4 linked regions of the Rhinolophus ferrumequinum genome follow. The protein of the gene in region 1 purifies or fractionates together with the protein of each later gene. This does not show direct contact. Links are inferred from orthologs where the notes say so. Each region holds a gene or a part of one and is shown in the gene's direction. Other genes may lie near its edges. The genes, in order: SHC1, PRKCD, GAB2 and CRK.

Region 1 (7,201 bases):
CAGAGCCCTGCACTGGGCTGGAGAAGAAACACAAACAAATTTCCCTTTTATGTTCTTCAATTGAGAAGACAAGATACAAACTTGGAAGTTGTTTTAAGTATTATAGTTAAAACAGACTAGTGGAATGCCAACATTTGTAGAACCCTTTGTTTTCCATCCTTCTCCAATCTAGAATTAAGCATTTAGGATTTCTCAAATGCAAACTCTGTAGGGATTCCTTTCTTCACCAGCCTGGGCAAGCTCTATGTGCTTCCATCACAATCTGTACAGAGCACCTTTCTGAAATCAGTATTTCCAGATTTTTTCGGCTTGGCTTATCTTTGCACTTCAGGAGAACACCTGAAACCTGTAAGCACTCCGTAATGGCTTCCTAAATAGATCCCCTTCAGATATTTGAAGGGTATCGATTAGGTCCATGTGAAGTCTTTTCTCAATGTTCCTAGCCAGTTTTATGGCACTCCGTTCCTCGAAGTCCCCTTCCCTACACACGCCGGACAACCACGCCCCTTTTCCATGAATTAATGAGCAACACTCGGGCTTTCCTAACTCCCTTCCACTGAAGACGCGAGGAAAATTCGAGCTCCGCCTTTGCCACCTTTTCCTAGTAGGCTCTGGGATTCTACGGTGTTGCCGTAATACAAGCAGTTTCAAGAAGGCAAGGTCAACTTCCTCAATCAAGTTGCGAATGCTCCAGGCACCTCCAAGGTGACGGTGGTCAGCACGCACACTCTAACCACGCCTACCTCCGCCTCCCCCAAGTGCTCTCCCTCCAAATTCGCTCCCCCTGTTTCTTTCACCGCCGCCTCCGACCCTGCGTGCATGCGCCTTACGCTCTCAACTATCTCACACCCGTCCCGTTAATCTGCTGCGCATGCGCTGATTCTGTCGCTTCATTCCTGATTACTAACTCCTCGCGCCCTCACTTGTCAAACTCACGACCTCGTGATGGCCCCCGCGCCGGCACTAACCGGTACTCGAACTCCTCGTCGTCGTATTTGTCCGAATAGTAAATTTGTTTGTGCGCCATGATCGCTCTGTCTGAGGACCTTCAGCACCGCGCCGCCAACCTCCAAACAACTCCCAGCAGCACGCGCTCCCCACCCTCTTTGGCCTCACTTTCAAACACGCCGCCTGGGCTTCCTATTGGGCCCCTCGACTTAAGGCGGGACGACTCCACTTTCAAGCCTCCTATTGGCTTAGATTTGCTTCTCGTAGAGTCCTCATTGGAACGGACTCCTTGCGTTTCCCAAGAACGGGCTGAGGTCAAAAAGAGGCCTCTTATTGGCTAACACTGCTTTGTGCGCGTTCCCGCACTGCCATTGGCTGATTCGGGAAAGTGGGCCGGGTGAAGGAGGGACTGTGAGGTAGAGGGTCAGGGGTTAGCGAGGCCGGAAGTGAGTGCAATAAAGTTTCTCCTGGGAGGCCGGGCCCGGGGAGAAAGTTGGAGCAGCGACCTAAGGAGGTAGTGGCGTGATCCAGAACCAAATCAGCCCGCGGTGCGGTGCAGCGACTCCATGAGGCCCTGGTGAGTGGGGACTTTTTTTCTCCCTAGGTGACCCACTCCTCCACCCCGGAACCCCTCTCCCGGGACCCTACTTCCGGTCTTCATTTATAAGTCCCGCCCCCTGAGACCCCCTCCCCGGAAGTCCCACCTCCCAACTTCAGGGGCTCCCTGAACCCCGACTTGTCTTCTATTTATTGTCCCTGACCGCACCCTGTCACCCAGCTTTCCTGGAAGTCCCACCCCCTGACATGCTTCCAAGCCCTACTACAAGAAACCCCACGTTAGTCCTTCCAATTCCCCGAAACTCCGCCTCAGCGCGATGATTCTCCGCTAACTCCTGTCTATCAAAAAGCCTATCTTCCAAAAGGGCAAAGCCCTGCCCCTCAAATAACTACAGCATTCGAGTTCGTGAAGCCACGCCTCTCTAGGGGCTCCGCCCCCTACAAGTCCCGCCCCTTCCTTAATCCACGTCTGATTGTCCAGAAGCCTCGCCTCCTAGTAAGAAGTTTCCGAGGCTCGCGTCTTAGGGGACCACGCCCCCTCGGGAGGTTTATCCTGGTGGGACCCAGGGCTTCGCCTCCGACGCTTTGTCAGGAACTCCACTTGCTAACGTTTCCCTGTCCTTTTTCTCTTTTGGGCCTTAGGCTCAGTTTCCCTGAGCTGGCAGGCTCCGTGGGTGGGCAGTCCAAGTTCCCATCTCTGGCTCCGAGGGAGATTAGAGGCAGCCCCTTCCAAGGATGGACCTTCTTGAAGGGGGCTGGACTTGGGGTTTGGCACGAGGGTGGGAGACAGACTTGCTCCTAGATTCCTAGCCCCCCTCCCTGCGTTTCCCTTCCCAGAACTGACCCACCCCAGAAACAGCTGTTATGTTTTATACCTGTACCCCGCGCGGGATTTGGGGAGGGCCGTTTATTTCTTGTGGCAGGAGCGCAAGTTTGCTACCACCAGAGAAGGGTGTCTTGGAGTGGGTGTAGGGGACAGAGACCGTTTTGCTGTTTGATTTTTTTTTTTTTTTTTAAGGGGCTGCGCAGCCCCCACCACTCTGGCTCTTCCCCTCCCCCTAACTGGAGTTCTTGTCTGGGCATTCCTTCTGGTCCTGCTTGCCCAGCCTTCCCTTCTGGAAACATTCCTGAGGCTTTCGCCATTTCCTGCGACTTCCCGCCGCTCTCGTCTCCTCCTCCCTGCTGGGCCGGGGAGGCACTTGCAGCTTCTCCCCCACACCCCATCACCCAGACTCCCAGGAGGCAATCTCATTCCTATGCAGATTTAAAGAGCCCTACTTCCTCTTTCTTTTTCTCCAAATGCCCACACCTGTTGGTCATGCCCTGCGGGCACGTACAGGACGCCCATCGCTAAAGATGAGCAATCCTGCTGTGGGGGGGTGTGTGTGCACGCGCGCGCGCGCGTGTCGGGGGGGTGTGGGGTTATGGCTGAATCCTTTCCTTGCGCTCTGTGCCCGAGCTCTGAGCTGTAGCAAATGGAGTGTTAGAATTCCTTGTCAGGAGTGGTGGAATGACAGCGCGCTCCTCTGAGGAGGACTAAGGGCAGGGGAAAGAGCTTCGCACAGTATCCGACACGTTTTCAGTGCTAGTGTTGTTAGTTATTGTAATCATATGACTATTGGCACCTTTTTATCTTCTGAAGTAATTTAAAGATAGGTAATTCCATGGTGAGCCTGGGGGGTATGGGGATCTTACTTCTTTTCTGGTCACTTTCCAACTTCCTCTGTGGCTCCCTGGGCAGAGCTGTGGCAGGAAGCGGTGGGAGGAAGGAATGGCTTTGGGATCGGTGCCCTGTGTCCAGCCTCAGCGCATGGACCCTGGCACCCTTCTCCAGTACTTAAAACAGATTTAGCTTCTGCCCCCTTCTCCCTTCATGGTCTGTAGCCCCCACTTCTCTTGGAGAACTGTTTCATTCTCCCACCTCCTCCAGCCAAGCTGCACCCCTGATGTGAGGGGCACTGTGCTCCCTGGTGGACACGTGTACCCTCTTCGGAGGGTATGGCATACCTGGCAGGTGCAGGGAGCTGACCTTAGTGTCAGTGTCCTGCTTCCCCATCTACCCTTCATAGCCGGCTTTGCTAACGGGGGGACGGGCAGAAGAGTGCTTGGCGGTGGCCGGCTGGCGCTCCCTGGCATGGTAGGTGCCATGCACAGAGAACAAGACTCCAGCAGCCTGCCCTCTGCTCCAGCTCCTCTCCCTGCTGTACCACCCAGGGTGGACTTTATCCCCCTTACCTCACCAGCTGTGCCCTTCCTCCTGGCCCCTCTGCACCCCCGGGACCACTTCCTTCTTTCCCCATTTCTTTAGCTCCTGTCCACAGCTGTTGTAGCAGACCATGCTAAAGGCTCAGGCTCCCTGGGGCCACCACCCCACTGTCTGCTAGTGGTGGGGGGTGGCCTGGGCTGGAGAGAGGGGACTTTCAAGTGTTCAAGCTGGACAGGAAGGGAAATGCTGAGCTCAGGGATCCCCTCCCTTTTCCACCCCCAGCTGCCTCTGTTTCCTCCTTCATTCCCCACCACCCTCCCACAGCTTCCTGCTCCCTTTGGCCTGCCCGTGTCCGGTTTGGATTGATCCAGACCTTCTCTTATCCTCCTCCTTTCCTTCTCACTCCTTGGTCCTCCCCTCCCACCCCTCCTTTACTCCTCCCCAGATTACTAGTTGTTTGTATGGGTGCAGTGGTGGTGTGGGGGCTCATCCCTCAAGCCTGTGAGTCAGCAGTGTCCTCGGGATTGGTCCCTCGCATTGGCTCCCCGCCCCTGGGGAGGAGCCAGGCAGCTCTAGGTCCAGCCCGTTCTTCCCTCAGCCAGAGAAGAAGCTCCACGCTGGGCGGGGATGGGGCCGGCAACAGTCTGGGTCTGAGCTGGAGGAGCTGGAGAAGCCAGAGCCACTGGTCCCTCTCCCTCCTCAGAACCCTTGAGATCCCTGGGCCATAACGGGCCGATCGGGCCAAGGGCCTGGGGATGCCCCTGCCTGGCCCCCTTGCCCTGACCGGCAGGGGGGCCGGGCTGGGCAGCAGCCTCCCTCTCACTCCAGCCATGGATCTCCTGCCCCCCAAGCCCAAGTACAACCCACTTCGGAATGAGTCTCTGTCATCGCTGGAGGAGGGGGCTTCAGAGTCCACCCCACCGGAAGAGCTCCCCTCGCCGTCAGCCTCATCCCTGGGGCCCATCCTGCCACCTCTGCCTGCGGACGATAGTCCCACGACCCTGTGCTCCTTCTTCCCCCGGATGAGCAACCTGAAGCTGGCCAACCCGGCTGGGGGGCGCTCGGGGCCGAAGGGGGAGCCAGGCAGGGTGGCTGAGGATGAGGAGGGGGTCGTAGGGGCAGCCGTGCCAGACTCGGGCCCTCTGCCTCTCCTCCAGGACATGAACAAGCTGAGTGGAGGCGGCGGGCGCAGGACTCGGGTGGAAGGGGGCCAGCTGGGGGGCGAGGAGTGGACCCGCCACGGGAGCTTCGTCAATAAGCCCACGCGGGGCTGGCTGCACCCCAACGACAGAGTCATGGGACCCGGGGTTTCCTACTTGGTTCGGGTGAGTGAACGGCTCCCACTGCCTCCCAGACCCCCCCACCCGGTGCCTGCACTCACTCTGGCTGTGTGGGCGTCCCCGGCTCGTCCCCAGCAACTCCCGACTCCCGTGGGGGCAGTGCCCTGTTGCCTAAACCTGCCTGGCTCCTTCTCCAGTTCTGCAGCTCCTTCCCTCCCAGCTCTGCCTGGGCCCCCCTTCCCTCTTGTGACTCCCCCACGCCACCCTCACCCCTCCAGGCTTGGTACCTGCCCAGCCCATGGAGCACCTTTAGTGAGTGTTGGGATGAGTGACTCTTGATTGTTCCCTCCAGTCTGCTCCCCGTGTCTAGAGATGTCACTCCATTCCCGCCCCCCCACGCCTGTCACTCCTCCCAGAGGCCTCATGGCCTGCTAGCTCGCCCTTCCCCTCTCCTCATTGCCTGTTGTCTTGTGTGCTGTGGGCTGTGGCGGAGCCTCATCTGCACTGTCCTGAGGGACACGCAGAGAAAAGTCCCAGGCCCCTTTGGCCAGGGGTGGGCGCGGCGGCTGACACCCCCCTTCCCCTCAGTACATGGGCTGCGTGGAGGTCCTGCAGTCGATGCGAGCCCTGGACTTCAACACCCGCACTCAGGTCACCAGGTCAGTGCAGGGGGTGAGGGCTGGGGGCGCAGAAGGGGAGCCCGGGTGGGTCACTCGGTGCTGGTGCCAGTGACGGCTTATCTGTGGGTGGTAAAGGGGACTGAGAGAAAGTGAAGGGAGCGAGTCTTAAGTCTGAATGAAAAGAGGCAACTCTGGCCTGGATCCTTCTTACTCATCCAGCCTTGGCAGTTGTGGGGGGAGGTGGCAGAGGCAGCTGGCAGCTGGAGGTTGAGTAGAAAATGGGGGTAGATGGAAGGTTGCTGCTGCCTTTGGGAAGGGAGTGGGACATTTGGTAGCTGGAGGGGGTGGGGCCCGCCCATTGAGGCCCTAACCCAATCAGCCAGGAAGCGGCCTCTCAGTGTCATCAAATATTAAAGGCCCTTAATTCAATCCACCACGACAAAGAGCCTGGAGTGCCCCTGGAGTCTGGCCTGGCCTTCCCCTCCCCCAGCCCTGTGGCAGCCCCAGCCCAGTGGGAGGCAGGCTCTGGGTCTGAGCACCCCTCTTTCCCCAGGGAGGCCATCAGTCTGGTGTGTGAGGCTGTGCCAGGTGCTAAGGGGGCGACAAAAAGGAGAAAGGTACCCGGGGGCGAAGGGGCTGGGGGTGCTGTGGGAGGTGCAGAGGGGCTGGGCAAAGGCAAGTGTGGGGAGAAGGCCCACAGGCAGGAGTGGGGGCTTTCTGGGTGTTGGGAGCCCCCGGTTTCTGAGACCCTCGGGCCCTTCCTTAGCCCTGTGGCCGCCCGCTCAGTTCCATCCTGGGAAGGAGTAACCTGAAGTTTGCTGGGATGCCCATCACTCTCACCGTGTCCACCAGCAGCCTCAACCTCATGGCCGCGGACTGCAAGCAGGTAGCGCACAGGGGGCCAAGCGGGGGCCTGGCTGTGAGAGTGAGGGTCTAGGAAAGGGCTTGGGTGCAGCAGGACAGTGGGAAAGGAGATCAGGAGGATGTGGGGTAAGAAGCCCGAAGGATGAAATGGGGACTGCCGGTTTTGGGCCGGGTGCGGAGCGCTCAGCTCAGCCTGAGGCTGCCTGACACGTCATTCCCTTCCTTCTCCGCCCCCTGCCCTAACCCTCAGATCATTGCCAACCACCACATGCAATCTATCTCGTTTGCGTCCGGCGGGGACCCGGTGAGTTGGGGGACAGAGCAAAGATGGCGGGAAAAGAGTAAGGGACTGGTTGGGAAGACGGGCTCACGGAACGGGCATGCCAGGATGGAGGCTCCATCTGGAAAGCACTGGGATTGCGGGGTGAGGCGTGAGTGGGGCTACTCGATGTAGCTAACTGGCCTCTCCTGACTGTCCTCCCCAGGACACAGCCGAGTATGTCGCCTATGTGGCCAAAGACCCGGTGAATCAAAGAGGTGAGGCAGTGGGGAGCGGGGTGGGGCCGGCTGGCCGGGAGGCAGGTGAGCAGGACCCGGAGCCGAGCGGGGGCTCCTGTCCGTGCCTCCTCCCAGCACCCCTGCCTCAGGCTCACCGACAGCCTCTGCTGTGCCCCCAGCCTGCCACATCCTGGAGTGTCCCGAAGGGCTTGCTCAGGACGTCATCA
Region 2 (7,437 bases), on another chromosome or scaffold:
ATCAGAGCAGAGGGGGTGCTGTTGCGTGGGGAATCCCTTGGGTCTGTGTGCGTCGGGATAGCTGTCGCTCCGTGACTGCCCCTTGGCACACCACCAACGCCCAAACTGCCTCTCCTTCAAACCTCTTTGCGGGGCTGCGGGTTAGGCAAGCCAGAAGAGGGGACTCAGAGGGGCAGGGGTTGTGCAGTGGTCAGTGTAGGACTGGGGCAGTCTGGGGGCTGCACACCTCCGTGGGAGCCCCAGGAAAGATCTGTGCCCTGCACTCCCAGAAAGTACCTTCCCTTTGTCTAACCCAAGTATTTCTCAAGCTTCACTCAAACACAAATGAGCCCCGGACGGAACTTGGGTAGGACCAACTCTTTGGCAGTTACACCAACATAGATTGAGCCTTGCACCAGAGCTTCATGAGCTTGATCTCTTCCATCCTCTCAACAAACCATCAGGACAACACAGTAGTACCTCGGTTTTTGAATGTCTCCGTTGAACATTTCGGTTTATGTATGCCATAAACCCGGGAGTAAATGCTTCGGTTTTCAAACACGCCTCAGAAGTCGAACATGTCATGCAGCTTCTGCTGAGTGCAAGATCCTGAAGCCTAGCTGTTGGCTGTTTTCAAACGTTTCAGAACTCGAACGTTCTTCCGGAACGGATTATGTTCGAAAACCGAGGTACCACTGTATTACTATTATTATCTCCAATCCACAGATGAGGAAGGTGAGGCACAGTTAAGTCACAGGTCCACGGCAGAGCTGGGATGTGAACCTGGACCCTGCAGCCCCTTGGCCTGGCACTTCCCTACCATGTGGCACTGCCCCCAAAGTCACTGCCCTCACTTGCCCCCTATCCAGTGCCCAAAGCCGAAATCCTTGCTCGTGACCATTTGGTGGCCTGAGGCATGGCCACTGACTGGTTGGACCATGTCCCAAATGCCCTTCTCTCCTGCTCTATCCGCAGTGGGACCTTCCAAGGCTCTGCTACCCCAGCAGTTACTCAGGCACACCATCCCTGCTGGCCTGCGCCTCCTTCTCCGGAAACATGAGCTCACTCTCCCTTGGCCAGGCCAGTGCTCTGGGTGTGATGGGGATGGTGCTGGCAGCCAAAGCTTCAGGGACAGGGATGGTAATACAGAGAAGCACAAACAGAGAGTAAGAGGCAGAAAGGCCAGGACAAGGACCAATTCTACACAGGGATCAAGTGGGGGACCCTATCCTGCCCATAGTTGGGCAGGCCCAAGCGATAGAGGGAGGTCCAGGCCTTTTCCAGGTTGCTTGGCTGAATCTGGAACTACCTGTAGAGGGGCTTGGTGGGGGGAGGCCCCCAGGTTCATGGCCTCTGGGTGGAGTAGGAGTTGCAGGTTGACCCTCCTCTGGACAAACCCTCCAGGGAGCCCCAGAGGAACAGCTCTGTGTGGATGCTGGGGTAGGAGTCTGAACACTACCCAGTGCTACCCCTGATGGGCCCATTTCCTTTGCAGCAAACCTGGAGGAGGAGAAAGGGAAAGTACCACTTCTGGGTGGCTGCTATGGGCCTAGCCCTACTTGGAGATTTATGCCCCATGTCACAAGAGGCTATCGAGGGCTCTTCCAAGGCTGACAGCCTGTGACTCAGCAAAGTGACCATACCTGGCCAATGTGAGCTGAGCCCTTAATGGGTGTCCACACATATCGTCTCACCTCACCTTTTACTCAACCCCTGACATGGGTCTGTCATCAGTCCCTTTCACAGTTGAGGACTCAGGATCAAAGAGGTGTTGTCACCTGCTCAAGATCATACAATTAGCATGCTGTCACACAGCCAAGGTTTGCACCCAGGCCTCAGCAGGCCCATCTAAGGTTGGGTCCAGGTAGGTTATGGGGGCACAAAGGCAAGCTCATCTGGATCTTGCACTGGCCCACCCAGTGTGGCACCTAAGAGCAGTTCCAGCATGCAGAGTGGCTCCAGCTGAGCTTGACCTGGATTCCTGGACCCCACAAATGCCTGTTCTCCCTGGGACTGTTGGTCCCACAGTTTGATTCTGGAGGGAAGCCCACCTGCATCCCTCCTCTGCCCTCATCATAGTGTGGGCTCTATAATCCTGAGGGCCAGGAAAGTGCTTCCTGGTGTCTAATTTAAATCGTTCTTGCTCCTGTCACACCAGCCCCACTCTAAAGCAATGGTTCTGAACAAGGGGTGATTTTTGGCGCCGAGGGGATATTTGGCAGTATCTGGAGACATTTTTATCTGTCACAATTTGAGGATGTGCTACTGGCATCTAGTGTAGAGGCCAAGGATGCAGCTAAACATCCTGCAATGCACAGGACAGTTCCCACAACAATGAGTTATCTGGCCCGAAAGTCAGTAGCGCTGAGATTGAGAACTCCTGAACTAAAACATGGGTTTTGGAGCCAGTTGGAATTCTGCCTCTGCCATTTACTAGCTGTGTACCCTTCACCAAGGGGCTTTATCTCTCTTTGAAAGACTCAATTTGCCCATCACCAAAAGTGGCACTCACTAATAGTGGCCCTCATCTTAAAGGGTCTTGAGGACCAAACAGATTCACACATTCAGTATCCAGCAAAGGGCCTGGCACCAGGGAAGCTCCGTCAGTGATAGCCATTATTCTTACTTTCCATTTTCCAAGGTGAACCTAAGGTGTGGGAATAAAAGTCTGGTGGCAGAACCTGGAGCTCCCCATGGGTCAGCCCTCCCCTTCGGTGGTCTCTGGCACTGGGTCAGCCTATTGTTGATGTTGTGGGAGAGGCTGGGTTGGCCACTGGATCTGGAGGGAGGAGCCAGAAAGGAAACTTGATCCCAGGTGGGCAAAAGTCACCTGGAGTCACCTTGACTCACCTTTTTCTCCAGCCCAACCCCAGGGAAGTCATGGGATTGGGGCGGGGAGACCAGGACACAAAACAGGCTAATGAATACATAGGAATACAGTTCCTTAGCTCAGGGAAATGCCATGGATTCACAGCTGGGCTCAGGGAGAGAAGCATTTAAGTGATCACAACCCAGACAGGTAGAGATATGGGGGTGGGTGGGAAATGGCATCGTGGCCCAGGGAACAGCATGTTCAAAGGTTTGGTTGTGAGGTAAGGCATAATGCCTATTTCCCAAATGACAGTCCAGTGTGGTGAGAGCAGTCCAGCTTGGTGGAAAGCTGGGTCTTCCTTCCCAGGTGTAGGGCACCAGGGCCCCCCTCTCTCTGTGGTGGGAAGAGTCATTGCAGTTTTTCTCTTTGCAGTCCAGACACTTCCCTTTGCCCCCGCCTGCACACACTTAAAACAGAATTTCAGGATCCACATCTCTCTTAGGGTTCTCAACATCCCCACCCGCTATTCACACAACCCTGTAAGGGACCCATCTTACCCAACCCAGGGTCTTCCCACCTGAAGAATGTGACAGCCCTTCTGCCCCATCCAGCCCCCTCCTTTCTCCTTCCCCTCTGTCCTATGATCGCCCCAGGAGCGCAATCCGTTGTAATAGCTGCCACCACCTGCTCCTTGAGAAGACTAAAGCCAGCTCAGGCCTCCTCAGGATTGCCCCACTCCCACCCCGAGTTTCATCCCTTACTCTTCAGCTGGGAAGAGCAGTCTGGACTCTTCTCATCCCCTCTAGAGGTTACCGCAGGAGGCCTGAGACCCGGAACCCTCTTCTATGCCTCTGGAAAGTGGCATTTCTTTGGAGTACAAAGCCAGCGGTTTGACTTTCTGAGCTTTGGAGGCAGAGGAAATGGACTCCCTGGACCCCACTCCGTCTCCAGACTTCAGCCCAGGGAATACTCAGTGAATGAATGAATGAACGAACGAATGAATGAGTTATGCCTGACAGCCAAGTTCCAAGTCTGGAAAGGAAGCTTAGGCGCCTACCCGGGGCGATGGAGAGCTCTGGAAAGCCCGGCCGGGAGAGCGGACCACTGGGGCATCGGGTTAGGGATCGCTCTCAGAAGGGTCTGACCAGCCGCAGACCAGCTAGAGCCTCCCGCCCTGGAGTCTTCCCAGCTCGTGTAGGGGCAGGGCCGGGACTAGCCGGCCTGGCGGCGGGCACCGAGCCCCGCCGCGTCTGCACTCCAGTCAACAGGAAGAGAAAGAGAGAGGCCTGGCGTGACTGGCCAGCAGGCTGGTGGGGAGTCCCGGGCGTGGGCGCCGGGATCTGGGGAACCCCCGCGGGCGCCTCCCGGCTTGCGTGCTTTGGGGTGGGGGCGGAGGTAACGCCCCCTCCGTCGGGCCTCAGCGTCCTCTGTATGATGCGGCCCCCTCTAAGGGCTGGTACGTGAGCTGATGGGAGACCGGGGTCGAGGTGTGAGGGGAGGGCAGAGAGGCCCAGACACTGAGTGACTCGAGCAGAGGCAGAGATGCTGGACCCCGGCTCCAGCGCGCGGAGGCGGGCCTTCGAGGGGCAGGCCCTGATCCGGGGGCGGGCCGGGGCCGGCACCTGGGTGAGGTCGCCCCGCCCCGCCCCCTTGTACTTCCGTGTGCAGCGGCGCGGGAGGCGGCGGCCCTGGGATCCCCGGAGCGACCCCCGGCACCCGCCGGTCGCGCCGAGGCGGGGACGGTACTTCACCCGCCGCCGGGCCCGTCCGGGTCTGGCCCCACCAAGACCCACGTCTGAGCGCACGCCCAGGAGCCGCGCCGGGAGCCGGACCCCAGCTGCCGCGACCCCTGGCGCCTGGCCCTGCGCTTGGAGGTGAGTGAGGGCCGGTTCCAAACGTGGGATCCGAGCTACCCCGAGGGCGCGCTGCCCCTCCCTTCCCCCTCCCCTCTCTGGTTCCCGTTTCCGAAACTGAGAAACTGATCCGCCGCCAGCGAAAGTGTCGCCGCGCCCCGGGACCCGCCGGTGCCTCCGTACCCCCGTCTGTCTGTCCCTCGGTTCAACGGTAGGGGCCGAGGCCCTCTTGTCCGTCAGCTCCCAGCCCCACTACCCGCCTGTGTCCCCATCTCCTTCGAAAGTCCACCCGTCCCTCCCGAATCTCTGGGGCCCTCTGTCCGTCCATCTGTCCCCACCCCCTCCCCCCGTCCGCCTCTCCCTGGTCTCTGTCTGTCTTTCACCCTTCGCATGCCCCTTCGCCCCACCCCCATCCCCCGCCGCCCCCTAGATCTCGTCCTCCGGGAGCCGCGTCCCCGGCCAGCGCTCGCCGCCCCTAGCCTGTCCCGCCGCCTCTCCTTTTCTACAGCGCGGCCCAAGCCTGGCGGTCCGCCGGGCCTCGCCTCCCGCCTCCCGGCCCTGGGTCCCAGCCCCGCCCGCGCGGTGCCTCCTCCTCGCTCTATCTCCTTTCAGTCTCTGTGTCTCTCGGTCTCTCCATCTGTCTCCGGGCTGGGCGTGGCTCGTCTCCATCACCCTCCCCTTCCCGTCTCGCCCTTTTGCTCCTTTGAGCCCCCTACCCTGGTGGCCTGTTCAAGGACTTGTCTGCCCCAGGCCCCTCCGCAATCCAGACACCACGCCTTTGGGGTCCCAGACCGGTGAGGGGAGACGGTGGAGGAAAGTGGGGTGAAGAAGGTGGGCACCTTCAGAAGTGCCCCACTTTCCCACCTCCCCCACTGAGCCCCCACTTAAAGCTGATCAGAAGGATTTGCTGTGAGTGGAGGGCTGACCCCCTTCTCCTCTGGCCCCTGCCCTGTATGTATGGATCCTGTCTTCGTGAGCTGGGTCGCTTGTATGTCTAAGCGTGTAAGTATGTTGTGTGTCTGTGTCCGCTTGGGTGTTCTTTGTCGCTGTGTTTGGAGCTTGCCCCTGTGAGTCCTGTTTCTCATGTATGATTTGCCTCTGTGTGTGTGTGTGTGTGTGTGTGTGTTGTGTGTATCTGTTTGGGTGTTCTGAAGCTCTGTGTGCCCTTTGCAACTATGTGTATACATCCCTGTGTGTTTGGAGGGTCCTATGTTGCACTGGGTGTGTCGTGGTGACCCACTGGCCCATGAGTATATTCAAGCTGTTAATTGTGGGAGCCCCGGTATTAGGGTTCCAGCCCACCAGGTTCATGTGTGTGTCTTTCTGAGTGTGTTGTGCGTGTGTGTGTGTGTGTGCGCGTGTACGCACACACACTCACATGTTGTGCTTCCTCTCCCTCTGCTACTGAGCCACTGTGATCAGGCTGACCAAGTCACCAAGAGAGGGGACTGTTCCATCAGGTTTCCTTGTTCCTGCTGTGAACTGAGTTGGGGTGTGGTGGACAGGCCAGCAGAGGGCAGCTGTGGAGAGAGAGAGTGTGAGTGTGAGTGTGTGTGTGTGTGTGTGTGTGTGTGTGATGTGGAGGTTTTGGGACAGCTATACCTGGCTGTAGGGTGTTGTATGGGATCTGGTGTATGACAGGACCGGAGCAGGGAGCAAGACGTGGTGTGGGCCTATGACTGGTGGGACACTCACAGTCTGACTGTATGAAACTGTGAGTCTGTGTGCTATGGGAGTAACTGTGCTTGTGGGGAACTGAGAGTGCTTGGGCGTGGGTGTCAGGAGCAAGAGGGGATGAAACAAGGTGTGTGGTGCCTGTGCCCTGGGGTGACAGTGTTGGGAGGAAAGGTGAGAGCCCCAGTGTGTGGGTGTGCACGCATCATGCTCTAGCCCGGCCCTGGCTCCTGGGGAGAGTAGGGAGACCTTCATTTCTCACCTTCCTCTACCCCCCCAAGTTGCCAGACACCAGAGGACAAGTCTTGGGGTTTGTAGTGTCATGACCAAGACCTTGGACTCTGAACCCAGAGAAGACCTGGGCTTAAAAGAGCAAGAGACCAGAGCTAGGCTTCTCTAAATCTCTTGCCTTATCTGCGGAATGGAGAAAGTTGATGACTAGAGGTCCTGTGTCACAGGTCCTTTAGCACAGCCTTAGCCCATAGTGAGAGCTCAGCACATGCTAAGTCTTATTTGGTGACCACCTCCCCCCAGTTGTATGGTCCCTATTCTCCTGGGAGCTGGGGCTAATAAAAGCCCAGATAGTCCCCCAACCCAGTATCCTCCCGGGGAATCTGTCTCTTGTCTGCCTCCCTTCCCTTTGACCAGGCAGCTTGTGGGAGGGAAGACGACTGACAGAAACCCTCCCAGCATCCAGCCCTGTTCATCCCACATGATGACACCCCTCCCCCCAGTCTCAGCAGCAGTGGTGGAGAGAGCGGTGAGGGGTGATTTGGAGCTGTGACTGCAGGGCACTGACACCATTTAGCTGGCACAGCTAATTGGAGTTTAAATTAAAATTAGAAGTAACTTAAAGTACAGACAAAAAGATAAAGCCTGAGGGTGTCTCGGTCCCCAGGGAATGGTGATGGGAATCTTCAGCTGGAGGAGGGGCTCACATCTGAAGAGGGGCATCTTTTGTGGAGGCCTGGCATGCAGAAAAAGTGCTCAGGTCTTTCAACCTGGACACCCAGGGCACCTTGCTGCCTTTGCTATTCCTTCCTTCCAGGAGCTCCCTGGGCCTCAGTTTCTTTTGGCTGTATAATGGGCACAATGGGTAATGTGAGAATCACTTCTACT
Region 3 (6,899 bases), on another chromosome or scaffold:
AGTCAGGGGACTTGATTTTTCCAGCTTTGCTAGTATCGTGTGTGGGTACAAGGGGTTAAGTGCTAGAGCTCCTCCAGGACTGTCACAGTGAAGCCAGATATCAGATAAACCATAAGTGATTTCATGCTTAGTCCCAGAGAGGAGGGTGTATGGGTAGTCTGTAGAACAGGGTCAGGGATTGGAAACCAAGAATTAACATAGTTAGCTCTCTGGAGCCTGGGGGTAGAAGTCAAAAGGTCTAAGGAGCCATTGTTTTTGCTACTACCCAAGAGTTTTAACCATCTTTTAAAAATGAAAGTGCACAGGATTACCTCCACCTGCTCAGCCCTTCCCACCAAGCCAGTCCCTGTGGGTTTAAACACTCCAGCTGCTTATGAAGACCTCCACAGGTGCTCCTCCCTGGGTTGCATGGATCAGACAGTTCCAGATGCTCACTGGTGCCCACACGTTATCCTTCAAGGGTTGGTTCCTTTATTCTCAGAACAAATATTTAATGAATATCTATTGTGTGCCTGGCACCATGCTGGGAGGCTCCAAGGAAACAGATATTTGCAGTCCAGTGTGACAACTCAATTTATGTAAGTGTAGTGTGGATCTAAGAAAAGAATGAACAACTATGCTCGGAAATGAGGATGTTGAGTTTTAGGGAATGGGGTCTTGACCTATGTTCAAGATCTAATTCAAGGGTCCATTGTGCCAAGTATGGTGTGGAGTATGCACACTCCCCAGGGACCTTGACAGACTTTGTTCTTGGGAGAATATGATAACTGATATTGCAGCAGGATCTGTGAACACTGATTTTGCCACCCCACTAATGTCAGTAGAAATGTCCCAGGAGCCTAACTGCCCCAAAGTAGTTAACACAGGTTCTGGTTCTTTACAAAGGAAAATTAGGAAGCTGGACTTGCTCAAACTTTTCTCTTTAAGAAGTTTATTTCCAAAATGTCTCCCACGGGGTGTAATGGCAAGTATCAGACTGTTTGGCAGCCGCAGACAGGGAGGGAACCCAATGAGGTCTTCAACCACACCCCAAGCCCACTTCCAGATCTCTGTCCCAACCAGATGCCAGAAGTTGATCTGAGAAGGTCAGAATAACTTGGTGGACGGAACCAAGTGGGCTCAGAGCACCCAGAGGTTAAAGAAGTGCAAACCTCAACATGCCTGAGAGACAAGTGTCATCAAAGTCACCAGCCAAGGTGACTCAGCCGGCCACATTGACCTTGGCCAGCAGCACTCAGCTCTGAAATTAACCTGTCAACTAAATTGAAGAGGAGAAAAGGCAGAAGCTCTAGGACACAAGCATCCATCCCCACCCCCAGTGCAATCACTGACGTCAGCCCTGGCGTGGGTGGGATTAATCACACCAGCTTGGTGTGCAGTTGAGGACAGCTCTCCTTCCAGTCCTTCCAACCCGTTTCTGGGAGCATTCTGCCAACCATGCACCTGCCGCTGGCCACAAACCCTCAACGCCCAGACAGGCACGGATGCAGGCTGTGGCTGACGACACACAAAGCCACAGTGCACCCTTTAGAACCCAGGCTTTGGCGGGGGGTGGGGAGCAAACGTGGTGCCCATGCTTCCCTCCCAGGTGTGCATTTGTCTAATCTCTTCAATGTTCCCTCCAGAGAAACCCTCCCCACGAGATGGTCATTTCCTGGGGATTTAATGAGAATATAGAATTAATGACCCAGAGCACCCCTTGCAGCCGGTCATTAATTCCTCCAGGAAATACCCGTGGTCTGTAATCAAAATTGCCTCAATTACAGACTAGTGGTGCATGTCCTCACAGGTTGGGGGGCTGTCATCCCAATTGGTTCCAATAGATGGCGCTTAGTTTCATGTCAATGAACCACTCAATTTGTTTTCCATTTCTCCCCAGCGAAAGGCAGGGAGCATTTAAAAAAATAAATAAATAAATAAATCAGGGAGTGGAGAGGACTTAGTTAGGGCCCAGGCAGGAACGTTCTGTCCGAGGTCTGTTTCCAGACCTGGCACGCACCTCAGGCTCAGAAGACGGGAGCCACACCAGGGTACAGCCAGGGACCTCAGCACTCCGCAGTCCTGCCTCCTATGTGCAGCCTAAGCTGGGCACTGGCAGTTTAGCAATGAAAAAGGTAGGGTAGCTGCAAACAAACCATGCAGACTACTCAGGCTCTGCAATCCCAGGGACTTGGCACCATGACTCAGATGTCAATGAAGTCAGAAGTTGCTTTATTTTGGTTGGGAGTCACTGCCTCCTGATTGATTTGGCAGACTTGAGTATTTTGATATGTTTCACAGGGTTTTAAAGTACAGGATTTTAAAGACAGAGGTTAAAAATGGTCATAGTTCTGGTGGTGGCCCTTGTATGTGACTAAAGAATCCCTAAATTGGAAGGTTACGGGAGCTCTGGTCCCAGCTATAGCCTGATAGTTCTGGCTTTGCATTCAATCCAGCAGCACACTAATAGTGAAAAAAGTCAGTGAAATGTTGGCTCCAGGGGAGCAGATTTCTAAACCTCCCAAAGTAAAACCTCCCAGGATCTGTAAAACCAGAAGGGTGTCCAAATGTTTGCAACAACTAGCTTTGCTGCAGTTAGGAAATGAACAAAACAGCCTTCCTCTAAAGTACAGGGAGTGCAAGATGCTGCTTCTCGCACTCACCTGCCCACAGCACAGTTCCCTGTTTGTATAGTGGGTTACTCTTATCTAAGAAGTTGGGGGAGGACCTACCTTTTAATATTGCTTGTGAAGGTACATTGTGAGTGGGAAAGAGCCCCTACCAAAGGTTTCCCCCCTCCACACTCCCCCTGAAATGTGGGGTAGTCTAGTGTGTGCTTCCACAGACTTCATTCATATCATATAAACTTCACCACAATGCAGTGAGAGAGGTACCATTATATCCCAATTTTTATACGAACGCCAGAGCTTTCTCATAACCTGTGTCAATAAGTTGGATTGCTGTGGAATTTTGACCCAATTCCTTATTCTACACCACCTTGCCTTCCAATTCACTATGAACTACATTGACTTATTTTTACTTCCTTGTTTCTGCAAATATGAATTTTCTTTCACTAAATTGTTTTTCCCAGAAGCAGTGAAGGAGCCAGCTGGACTTTATTTCCTGGTAGATAAAAGGCCCCCAAGTAGATCTGCATACATTAAAGCCACTCCCCCACTTTAAAAAGCAGACGAGCAGGACCACCCCATACCCCCAGAATTCGAAACTTGGCTCTGCGTCGCACAGGCTTTGGGACTTTATCTGTAAAATGGGAAGAATACTGCCCGCCGGATTTGTAGACTCGTCAAGACAATCATGTAAACAAGGAAAGAAAAGCACCCAACACACAGTATAGCAGTCTGTTTTTATCATTCCTTCTCCCGCCAAGGGGGTGCGAGAGTTAAAGAAACTGTTGCTGGGAAGCGGATCACTAATTTCAGCCAGAACCTGACCCACTGAAACCTGAAACTCTGGGAATGGATAGGAAACTCGAGCAGCCCTCGGGTCCCTTCCTGACGACCCTCTGTGAAAAATCGATTCGAGATGAAGGGCGCGCAACCCCTTCCCTGCACCCCACCCCCACCCCCACTCCTACTAGGGGCGCGGCCGCCTCCCCCGCACGCTGCCGGAGGCTTCGGGAATAAAACAAGACGGGGTCGGGGGGAGTCGGGCAGCGCGGCCGGCTGCAGGCTTCGGCGCCCTCCCGAACCTCGGGCCTCTCGGGTCCGAAGACGCGAGGCGGTGTTTTCCTCTAGGAAGCCTGCCGGCCGGGGGCGCGGCGGGCTGTGGGCGTGGCGAGCGCGCGCCACCGTTCTAGTAGCGCCCCCACCGCGGCCGGGCTGGGAGTGCGCACGGGCGCGCGCGGGGAGAGCGGGCGCGCGCGGCAGCCGTGCCCGCGCCGCGCCGCCTCGCCTCATCCTCACCCGGCGGCCGCGGGACGCCCCGGCCCCTCCCCTCCCCCGCGAGCTGCGCACCGCCTGCCCGCTGACCCAGCCGCCGGCGCCCGCGCCCTTGTGCTCCCGACCCCGCGGTGGGCTCCAGGCGACCGACAGCATGAGCGGCGGCGGCGACGTTGTGTGCACCGGCTGGCTGAGGAAATCGCCCCCTGAGAAGAAGTTGAGGCGCTATGTGAGTGCGGGCGGTTGGCGGGCGCGGCCGCGGAGGGCGCGGGCGGGGGGCGCCCCGCGGCCTACAGAGGGGCTGGGGGCTCCGGGAGGGGCCGTGCGGACGGGGAGGGCGGACCCCGGGGCCTCCGGGGGCCGAGGATCGGCCGGCGCGCCTCGCGCCTCGGGTCTGTGTGGGGCACCTGCACACCTGTCACAGGTGCGCCGCCGAGGGGCGGGGCGGGCGGGCAGGTGGAAGCTGCGGCTCTCTCTCCGCGGGGCGGCAGCGCCTCCCCAGCCGGCCTCCCTGTAAACTACATACAGTATTGAAGTTTGTATTGATTGTTTTTGGAGAGCTAGGAGTTGATTCCCGGAGCTGGGGGACGGTAGTAACCCAGAGCGGCTTCCGCCTGCAAGGTTGGGGGAGTGGGCGGGAAAGGGGGGCGTAGGCTGTGGGTCGGTGTCGTGCGGCCCCACAAAGGGCGAGGCGCCTCACACCCTTTCCCCATTCCCTGCCTCTGCTCGCCCCTCCCGGTGGCCGCCTGCTTCCTTCCAGTCGGGTCTCTGCATCATGGGCAGCGTCAGCGGCATGTGCAGCCCTTGTACTAAGTGACTCATTTGTTTGTCCCCCTTCTTTCCCTTTATTCTGTATGTCTCTCACATACATACCGCCGCCCCCCCAACTCCTCGATGGTGACACTGCAGTTTGCTCTGCTATAACTGGCCCTGGTTTTTGTGTTGTGCAGTCCTGGGTGTCTGGGGTCGAGAGAGATCAAGGTTCTCAGTTGCCAGGTGGTGCTAACCGACAGTGTTTACTGAAATTGCTGGGACAGCCACTCCCTCCCTTCTAGGTGCAAAACGGGCAGCATCATGGGAAAGGTGGTACAGTCTGGTGCTGAGCGGTGAGGAGGTCTGGCTCCCTCCTGCCCTCCACCCAAAACAAAAAGCAAAACAAAAACAAGACGCCTTGCTTGGTGGGGTCAAAGTACAAGCTGGTGCCAATTACTGAGATTTGGCTAACATCAGCTCTGGGCTGTGAGCAGGAGTTTGGAAATAGAAGTAAGGTCGCCAAAACGTGTCAAGGTCTCCCATCCTTTTTCCCTCTTCACTTCCTATGAAATGTCCTTGTTAAACTGACTAGTAGTGCTGGACTGTCTGGGATCGTTCCCACAGCATGGAAGTGAGCTAGCTGTTGCATTCCAGCTGCAGTGCATCAAGGGAGCTCTGAATAGACCCTGCCCTCTGTCAGCTGCACCAGTGGCTGTCCATGGGGGGAGAGGCAGAAGCTTACCAGAGTTTCCTGTCTTGGCTCCCCAGATCAGAACCAAGGGACTTCTGGCCTCTGGATTGAGGAAGTGACATTCTGTTTTTCAAAGGAAGTGTTGTTGTTGGGGAGTGCAAATGTATGTGTATGTACGTACATGAAATCAGGCTCTTATTTATATCATTTGCTGGGAAAGCATTTGAAGGATTTAGCACGGGACTTTTGAAAGTGGACATAGATTTAAAATATAGTAGGAATGTGGCAATGAAGTATTCATCTCAGTTTTAAAGCTCATTTTCAGGGGTGTCCATGTAGCCAAAGAATGAATTATAATTGCTAAGAAACTTTTCTACTCTTCAGGGTTGTATCAGTTCATTAGGAAAGGTGAATTTTTATATTAGGTTAAGGAACAGTAATTTACTACTAATATTTTTGTAAATATAAAAAACAAAAACAGGGGCCGCCCGGTGGCTCACTTGGTTAGAGCGTGAGCTCTTAACAAGGTTGCCGGTTCAATTCCCACCTGGGATGGTGGGCTGCGCCCCTTGCAACTAAGATTGAAAACGGACTGGACTTGGAGCTGAGCTCTACCCTCCACGACTAGACTGAAGGACAACGACTTGACTTGGAGCTGATAGGTCCTGGAGAAACACACTGTTCCCCAATATTCCCTAATAAAAAAATTTTTTTAATAAATTAAAAAAAAGAGTTTTAAAAAAAAATCTTTGGCCCTCAAAGAGCTTCTGAAAACTATGAAAAGTGTAAGACCATACCAGCTAGTAGAATAAAGTATCCAGTAAAAATGTGACTGTTAATTGTCAAATTAGAACTCTCTCCCCAAGAACCTTGAAACTTTATTTTTGAAACAGTTTGCAAACAATTTGATATTGTATCTACATTTGACCAATGACTACTTCATTTCTATCACCCAGACTCTGTGACCCATTTCTTGGGTATTTTTGTTTCCAAAAAAAAAAAAAAAACACAAAAATAACTTCACCTCAAAATAACCAAGCTTGGAGGCTTTTGGATCAGGCACCTTTTTTACCCATACCTCATTTTATTGTGCTTTGCTTTGTTGCACTACACAGGGGTTGTGTTTTTACAAATGGAAGACAAGACCTCCACCAGCAAAAAGATTATAATTCGCTTTACTGAGAACCTAACTTGATTGCAACACTCGCTTTATTGTGGTGGTCTGGAACCAAACCCGCATTATCTCCGAGGTACGTCTGTACATACTTGACACCCTGCAGTCATGCGATGACCTCAGCCTCCTTCCCATCTTCCCCACAGCTCTATCCCATACGGCGTCTGACCAAACTAACAGCTTTTCTTAGGCCACGAAGTGATGTGTCCCATTGGTGTGACTGGAAGTCTCCTTTACTATGGACGTGTGGTTCTCCTACTGAAAACTGAGCTGATCTGTGTAACCCTAAACTCTTGAGGAACCGTCTGCTTTTATATCTTCTTTTCTTTTTAGGTACTGAGAATTTTTGCACCCAGTTTTGAGTTAGAATTCTGCCAGTTCCCTCTGTTCACTAGAGGCCTAA
Region 4 (7,615 bases), on another chromosome or scaffold:
ATTCTCAGTGGACCACCTTGAATACGGTGCTTGTCCCTGACCCCTTCTCTGCAGTAAGGAAAGGTATATTTGGATGTGTGCCTGCCAGGCCTGGGTCACGTGAATCACACCTGACCGCGGGGACCAAGAATGGCGGCAGATGACTTCTCAAAAGAAAATCGGTGTTGTCTCCAGAAGAAAGGGCATAAGTGGTGCAAGCTGCCACCATAGCACTCATCAGCAGATGGCTAAGAGTTTTCCCAAGCAGGAGGGGCGTTGCAAGCAGAAGGAATGGCAGGCCTTAATGGCAAGAAAATGTTTCGTTTGCGGTCAGGTTACCTGCTGAGTTTAGATTCATCACCTAGGGCAGAAGTTCTCAATGAATAAGATACCACAGCTTGGGCTTAACAAAGTCCTGTGAGCACACCTAGATTTTGACACCTCCCGCAAAATCAACTTATAGAAAAGTGAAAGCACCACAATATGCCCACTCTATCAGTGGTAACAGTGGCTCCAAGAAGCCAACAGATAAGATAAATACCGTGTTAGGTGCAATTACCAGCTTTACAACTGGAACATTCCTTTCGATAGCCAGTTAGTATGCATGGGGGAGTGATGTCATGGACAAACCCAGATGCAGCCAAGGACCCTGTTCTTTTGAGAGGTTAACCAAGACTGGCTGGCACCCCCAGCTCACATACTGCAGGAAGTACACTGCCCTCCAAGAGAGAGCTGCCAAATGTAGGAAGCTAATTTTGGCTCTACACAAGAGCCTCCACCCGACTCCATTTATTCATTCATTCCCTCACTCAACCAACATTTACTTAATGTGCCGGGCTCTCTGAGATAGGCTTGATACATGGGATATTGCAAGAACAAAAAAGAACAAAATCTCTGCTTTTATGGAGCTTATATTCTAGAAGGGAAGAGAGGACAATACATAAAACAAATACGTAAAACAAACAATGGGTTAGAGCGAGGTAAGTGCTAGGAAAATAAATAAAGCAGAGAAGGGGGAGAGGGAGAGTTGTGTGTGCAGTTTGCAGTTTCAAATGGACTGGAGACGACGGAAGGCCTCGGTGAGAGGGCAACACTGGAACAGGGACCTGAAGCCGGTGACTGTGGATTTCCAGCAGAGGGAACAGCAAGTTTTTCTCAAAGCATGGCAGCTTGTTAAAGAAAAAGGAAGAAGGTCCGAGGGGCCTGGAGAGGAATGAGCAGAGTGAGGAGACAGGGAGAGAACATAGGTGCATTTCCATCTCACCTCTCTCAGATGTTCTTGATTTTCTCAGTTCCTTGAGGACCGAGTCAAGGAACTTGGCACCTGCTCCTGGATTCCTCCCTGCAAAAGGCTTCTGTGTGAGCAGCTCTCCTGAAGGATGGGGGCAAGGAGGGGGTTTACGTTGCAGCCAAGCAGACAACTCATTCTCAGTGTCCTACAGGATGTTGCCATTGGGAACATCTCACTGACCTTTCCGGGAAGGTCTGGCCTCCTGCCTTGGTTCCCAGCACATTCTCCTCCTCTAGACTCTCCTTGGAGTCCTCTCACATTTCTCCCCAGAGCTTTCCCCTGGTGTCTGCCTCCAGATCTTATCTTTGCACATGTTAAGACTGGTTCTCCTCTTTGCACAACTAAGGGCTACCCACTGGGGGTGGGGCATCCTTCTTTTTCACAGTCTACAAACTCCAGCGGAGACTTGGAAATGTCTCTGTCTCCTTTGTCTCTCCCCCCCATATGTAAATGAGAACAGGGCAGACGTGTATTTTCCCACTAATACAAACTTTGTCTACACACACTAACCCACTTTTCTCTCTTTTTCACAAGCACTTTGGAAAGGAATACTGTCAGTTTTCCCTCTGAATAATAATTTTTGTTATCTTGATACAAATAATCTTTCTGCTTGCCTGTGTTAAAAGAAAAAGTGGGTATGAATAGCCCAGTTCCAGACGGCCCCATTTATGTAGCACCCTGCAGTTGGGCCGTGCACAAGCTGCATAGCTGAATGAGGCAACTCTGGTCACTTTAGGTAACACAGAGCAGGCAGGCGAGCAGGTTGTTGATTTCCTGCTCCTCCATTGCTAAAATAGGGAATGCCTCTCTTTGGTTAGGAGGATCGGGAATGGAGGATTTTGGTGCGTTTTTCTCTTAAACAGGGCAGACTTCCCTTTTCCCCCCTTTTCACCTGTTTCTCCTTCGGGTACTTTCCCCATCCTCCCACACCACCCAACACCAGGAGCCCTTCCTAAGCAAGAAGATCACATTCTTTGTAGGGCAGGTCTCAGGCTTGTGGGGGGGGAGGGGGGACAAAAGGTGCCATTATTGCTGGAAATCTTGACGTATGAAGGGGAGAGGAGGAGAAGAGAAAGGAGGGAGGAGCAGCGTGGGCTTGCCTTTTGCTTGTCCCAAGGCCACTCCTGCTCCCACCTTATTGACCTCTGAATTAGTAGATTCTCTGTGCTCCAAGGAAGAACACACTGAGTAGCTGCTTGGGGCTGTGGCTCCCCTCCTTGCCAATCTCATTTCTTATTTTCCAGCTCAGTTACGATTTGTCCTTCTTTTCTTCCTTCTTTCATTCCTTCCTCTTTCTCTCTGCCTCTCTCTCCCTCTTTCTTCTTTGTATTTTTTTTTTTTTTTAAAGAGGGTGCAGCTCACAGTGGTCCATGTGGGGATCAAACCAGCCACCTTGGTGTTGTTAGCACCATGCTCTAACCAACTGAGCTAACCGGCCACCCCTCTTTCGTCTTTTAAAGTATTTTTCCCCATCATACCCATGTATCCTAGGGAAGGGGCTTAGAGGCATGGCTTCGGAACCTCACAGGTAGTCTCTGGGTAAGGTTCTGCCTCAAAGCCTGGCAATCCTGGGAAATGAAGAGCAGGCACTTCTCTTTCCCAGAGGGCCAGAATTCACACGGGGCTGCTTCTGCTGCTGGCTTGTAGTGACCTGCTGTGACTAAGCCAGGGTCATGATGAGTCATCCACAACAGGGAAGGTGCCCTTGCTCCACTCCCCTTCCCAGGCAGGACCAGGGGTGTGTGACGTGTGTCCAGAAGAAGTGCGTTATTCATGTAAGACCATAACCCAGCGCTGACTAATTCTTTTTTTTTAATGTCTATTTCCACCATCCTCTCCCTTCCTGCCACTCCCACCGTTCCTATCTCAGACATCTGAGGATATAGCAAAGTGACCATAGCTCTCTTCCAGGATTTGAATCTCAGCTCCCCATTCAGCAGCTGTGTGTCTTTGGACAAGTTACTCAACCTCTCTCAGCTTCATCTGTAAAATGAGGATAGTTGTAAAATACCAACCCATAAGGTTGTTGACAGGATTAAACGAGATGATCCTCATAAAAGCAGCACTATGTCTGGCATCTAGTGAATAATATGAATAAATGTTAGCCATTATTATGTAACATTTATGGGGATGCTTGGCCTTCAAAGAACTCTAGCACGGAACACAGACAGACCTGTAAATGAAAGATTACGGTACACTGGGTAAGAACTATAATGGAGATAATATAACAGAAACATAGTGCTGCCATGCAGAGAGGGAGTGATGTGGTGGTCAGGAAAGGGGGGGGGGCATTTGAGTTTGAGATCCCAAAAGGAGTGGAAGGTCAATCCAGAAAGAAGTAACACAGGGTTCATGGAAAAGTAATTGAGACTGTGGCCCACTTTTATGCTGTGAGCTAAACTGGGAGTTTTAACACCTGGAGAGTGTTAAAAGTTTGTGATTTAGGAAGAGAACACTGGCAGCTGTGAGCACCAATGAGCAAGCTGTTCACAGGAATATAGATATAGATATGGAATGTAGAGACAGAGATGGTCATGATGGCAGGGAGAGTGGAGGACACTCATGGCCAAAATTAGGGTTTAGAAGAATCTGATAGGATGACTTGAGAGCCTCAATGGAGAGGACAACTTCATACTTCTACCTGGCTTGGCATACTCTGTTCCCTTTGTCTTGAATGCCCTTCCCCCTTGTCATTCAATATTCAGGTCATGCCACCTCCTCTGGGAAGCCCTCTTGGATCTCTTTACAGATTGGATTAGGGGGCCCGGCTCTGTGTTCTTAGAACTTCTGTCTGTTCCCGATCATAGCATTTGGCATTCCTTTGTCATTGACTGTTTCCTGGTTCCTCACTGGTGAATTTGGCAAGGGTAGGACTCAGCCTTGATCACCTTTGTACCCACAGGGCAAATGTGTCAATAACCGTTTGCTGAATGACTCAATGAAAACAAGAGCTTTAGGTAGCCTGGGGAGGGAGAAGCTGGAGGAAGTGTCAGAAAAAGACCGTCTCAGGTAGCTGAGTCCGTGGGTCCATATCATCTTTTCTATTCCAATTCTGTCTCGGAGTCGCTGCCTTGAAGTCCTGGGCATTCCAGTAACTTGAAGCCTGGTGGAGCGAAGAAGAATCGAGTAGCCAACAGCAGACACAGACTTCTGTGGATGGCTGGTTGAGGCCCAACCCCCTTGGCCTGGACTCCGCCTCTCCATCCTCTGCAGTCCCGGTCCCCGCCAGGGGGCGACGCCCATGAGACCGCATGCGCAATACGCGCGCGAGCCGTCCCTTGCCCTTCTCCCAATGGCGGGCGGAGGTCCCTTTCCCGGCATCCTCCCGAGGGCAGGGAGCGCGTCATTTCCGGTGGGGAAGGCCCGCGGCCGCCGCCGCCATTTCGGGCGCTGCTGTGAAGCTGAGACCTGAGCCGGTCCGCTGGGCGGCGGGCGCCGGGGCTGGAGGGGCGCGCGCGGCGGCGGCCCAGCGTGTAGGCACGGAGGCAGCCATGGCGGGCAACTTCGACTCGGAGGAGCGGAGTAGCTGGTACTGGGGGCGGTTGAGCCGGCAGGAGGCAGTGGCGCTGTTGCAGGGCCAACGGCACGGGGTGTTCCTGGTGCGGGACTCGAGCACCAGCCCCGGGGACTATGTGCTCAGCGTCTCCGAGAACTCGCGCGTCTCCCACTACATCATCAACAGCAGCGGCCCGCGCCCACCGTTGCCACCGTCGCCCGCCCAGCCTCCGCCCGGTGAGGGACGGACAGGACGGGAGGCCCCGGGCGGGGGTGAGGGCCGTGGAACTCCCCAGCCTTGCCGGCTGCTCCTCGCGAGCTGATCCCCACGAAGGACGTGGACAGAGGGCTGGTGTGATCGTGGCAGGGGGCGGCTTGCTGCTGGGGCTGGTTCCCACAGACCAGCGGGAGTGTGGGGGAGGAGGAGCCGCTGACCCAGGCCTCTGGGTGTGACTTGGAAGGACAGCCCAGGGGAAGGGGAACTGCTTCGGCCCCAGGGTGGGGCTAGCGCCTGGGCCAGGCACAAGGGCAGGGCCAGGCAACGTGGGGACAAAGAGCTGAGGGGAATGTTGGCACTGCGGGGGCATCACTTGGCAGCGGTGCCCAGAATGAATCCGATAATCCTACAAGTGGCTTTTTAGGCTTGAAACATTTCCTGCCATGCTAGGAAGCCGGGTTTGGCTATACTCCCCTGGTGGCCTTTGGTAGGAAGTCACCACATACTGGCCTGGAGGGATGGAGACACCCTTCAGGAAACCGCTCAGCTTTTTCCTTTCTTGGGCATTTTTCCAAAAGATTTTTACCGTCCTCTTCCCTCGCGGAGGACGAAGGTGGTGAGCTCAGTGCCTTGGTGATAGATGGCCCTGTATGGCCAGCCCAGAATAAGTGGATGCCTGGATGACTGTACCCAAGAGATCTTAGTGTCCAGAAGACTGCCCTCCGCAATTCGGGGGCTCTATTTCTCAGTGTTTAGTGGAGGAAAGATTTTTGTTTTCTTTCATGAAATAAACCAGAAATAAGCCAATGGAAACAATCCCTTCTCTGAAAGTGAACGGAACTTCATTTTTCCTGGGACTTAAGCATTGTCAGTCTTGTACTTGAGGGCCTCTTCTTGCCCAGTAAGTTGGGGCTGTGATCTGAGTCTTTCTAGATATTGGGAACAGACCTTGCTGGGTAGATGCTCTGAGAATTTAAATGATCAGCACTGAGTCTTCCTTGCCAAGGATGGATGCGATATGACTGTCTTACCCCTGCCATTGGAGTTGTTGGGGGAATATTAGGGACATTTATGCACTTAGTGCTTGCGCTTTGGGAGGGACAGAGTGACTCTGAGGTGACCGTTACCTGTGTTAACAGCACCAAGAAGAGTCCTTGTGCCTTCTCACTGTTCCCAAATTGAAGCACTTGCCTCTTGACCAGCTAAGACCAAGCCAGTCTCAAGTAAATTAGGAGGCTCCTGAGCCCAGCTTTGCAGACTTACCCTTTTAGGATTGTCTTAATTTAGATTTATATACTCTGGCCAGAAATGGGGAGAAAGGATAGTCAGTCTGTTAGTTCTTAACATAAACCAAGTTTAAAAAGAGTGTGAAACCAAGTTTAAAAAGAGTGTGGGATCTTTAAGTACACAAATTATCCTAGGTCTTTCTCAGTCTGGTTGGTTTAATAGCATTATAACATGAGATGGAAATATTGATGTAACATTTGCCCTATACCAGCGATAGTCTACTTTTTACCACATGCATGGTATCTAGGGGTTTTTGTTACAGTGCGGTGATACGATGGCAAATTGTCACTGAAACTCAATTTTCAACCTTGTTTGTATATGTGTTTTATTGGTTGCAAAATTTGGAAATGGCGGCAGGCAGGTTTCTTAGTTTGAGCTCTCTCCACACCTAGGCATTATGATTTTATATCTCAGTGTTTGATATTGAGCTCCACCTTTTCATAACAGAGGAGTTCAGATCCTTGGCCCAAGAGAGAAGGTAAAGATTGCCACAGTTTGTCGATGGGGTGTGGAAAGTTCATGGGCATTGTGGTAATTCTTTCTGCCATGGACCCTATTTTACATGTAGGGCAGGTGGTTCGGTTGCTCTCTTTATAAAGGCTACTTAATCTTTTTTCTGACCTTCCCCCATCAAGCTCTTTTTCCTTTGAAACCACACAGGAATTTCTTGAATTTCAGAAAGGCATATACAATATTAATAGCTAACATTTACTGACTGGCTGTTCTATGCTACGTACTTGGCCGAGCACTTTATGTGCCTTACCTTATTTACTATCTGTAACAATCTAGTGAGGAATGTCCTGGGATCTCCATTTATTAAAATATTTCCACTTGATAGATGAGGAAACTGAGAATCAGTCAATTGCTTGGTCACACAACTTGTAAATATTGAGCTAGAATTCGAACCTGGGAATTCTGACCTGAGAGCTGACACTATTACACTGTATTCCTTTCTGTCAAAGCCAGTTTACTTGTGAGGTCCCAGCAGTGTTGTACATAGAGGACTCAACATATTTGTCTCTGTACTGGGGTCCCAGGTTCTGCCTGAAGACCAAAAGAAAAGGATGGCAAGAAGAAACTGGCTTTGGTGTTCAGACAGTACACATCTGTCTAAAATCAATGATGAAGAGGCTTTTAAACTCCTACTTATTTGGAAAAGTAAATATGGGAAATGGGAGCTTTTTTGCTTAGGGTAATATAATGTATTTTGTGGGCATGATACCTAGGTAGAATGTGTGGCTTAGATACGGTTTTTAGAGGCTTAGGGATAAAATTGACCAGGAATTCTCAACGTTTTATTTATTTTTTAAAGATTTTATTGGAGAAGGGGAACAGGACTTTATTAG

What was found.
Region 2: the proteins of SHC1 (region 1) and PRKCD purify together in Homo sapiens (affinity purification with mass spectrometry; 3 studies listed by BioGRID and IntAct, with this or other methods). This does not show direct contact. The link is inferred for Rhinolophus ferrumequinum from reciprocal best matches to the Homo sapiens genes SHC1 and PRKCD.
Region 3: the proteins of SHC1 (region 1) and GAB2 purify together in Homo sapiens (affinity purification with western blotting; 6 studies listed by BioGRID and IntAct, with this or other methods). This does not show direct contact. The link is inferred for Rhinolophus ferrumequinum from reciprocal best matches to the Homo sapiens genes SHC1 and GAB2.
Region 4: the proteins of SHC1 (region 1) and CRK purify together in Homo sapiens (affinity purification with western blotting; 3 studies listed by BioGRID and IntAct, with this or other methods). This does not show direct contact. The link is inferred for Rhinolophus ferrumequinum from reciprocal best matches to the Homo sapiens genes SHC1 and CRK.

The regions. Positions count from the first base shown.
Region 1 is NC_046305.1:73,065-80,265, reverse strand, and holds the start of SHC1 (SHC-transforming protein 1), read left to right. Parts: upstream 1-4,200; 5' UTR 4,201-4,467; coding exon 4,468-5,037; intron 5,038-5,580; coding exon 5,581-5,651; intron 5,652-6,165; coding exon 6,166-6,229; intron 6,230-6,378; coding exon 6,379-6,498; intron 6,499-6,726; coding exon 6,727-6,780; intron 6,781-6,961; coding exon 6,962-7,013; intron 7,014-7,153; coding exon 7,154-7,201. Other genes in the region: CKS1B (cyclin-dependent kinases regulatory subunit 1), read right to left, coding at 924-1,027. UniProt on the Homo sapiens protein: Signaling adapter that couples activated growth factor receptors to signaling pathways. Participates in a signaling cascade initiated by activated KIT and KITLG/SCF.
Region 2 is NC_046300.1:48,622,552-48,629,988, forward strand, and holds the start of PRKCD (protein kinase C delta type), read left to right. Parts: upstream 1-4,429; 5' UTR 4,430-4,665; intron 4,666-4,832; exon of another isoform or gene 4,833-4,855; intron 4,856-7,437.
Region 3 is NC_046294.1:52,507,079-52,513,977, reverse strand, and holds the start of GAB2 (GRB2-associated-binding protein 2), read left to right. Parts: upstream 1-3,891; 5' UTR 3,892-4,032; coding exon 4,033-4,107; intron 4,108-6,899. UniProt on the Homo sapiens protein: Adapter protein which acts downstream of several membrane receptors including cytokine, antigen, hormone, cell matrix and growth factor receptors to regulate multiple signaling pathways.
Region 4 is NC_046304.1:16,424,468-16,432,082, forward strand, and holds the start of CRK (adapter molecule crk), read left to right. Parts: upstream 1-4,611; 5' UTR 4,612-4,761; coding exon 4,762-5,002; intron 5,003-7,615. UniProt on the Homo sapiens protein: Involved in cell branching and adhesion mediated by BCAR1-CRK-RAPGEF1 signaling and activation of RAP1.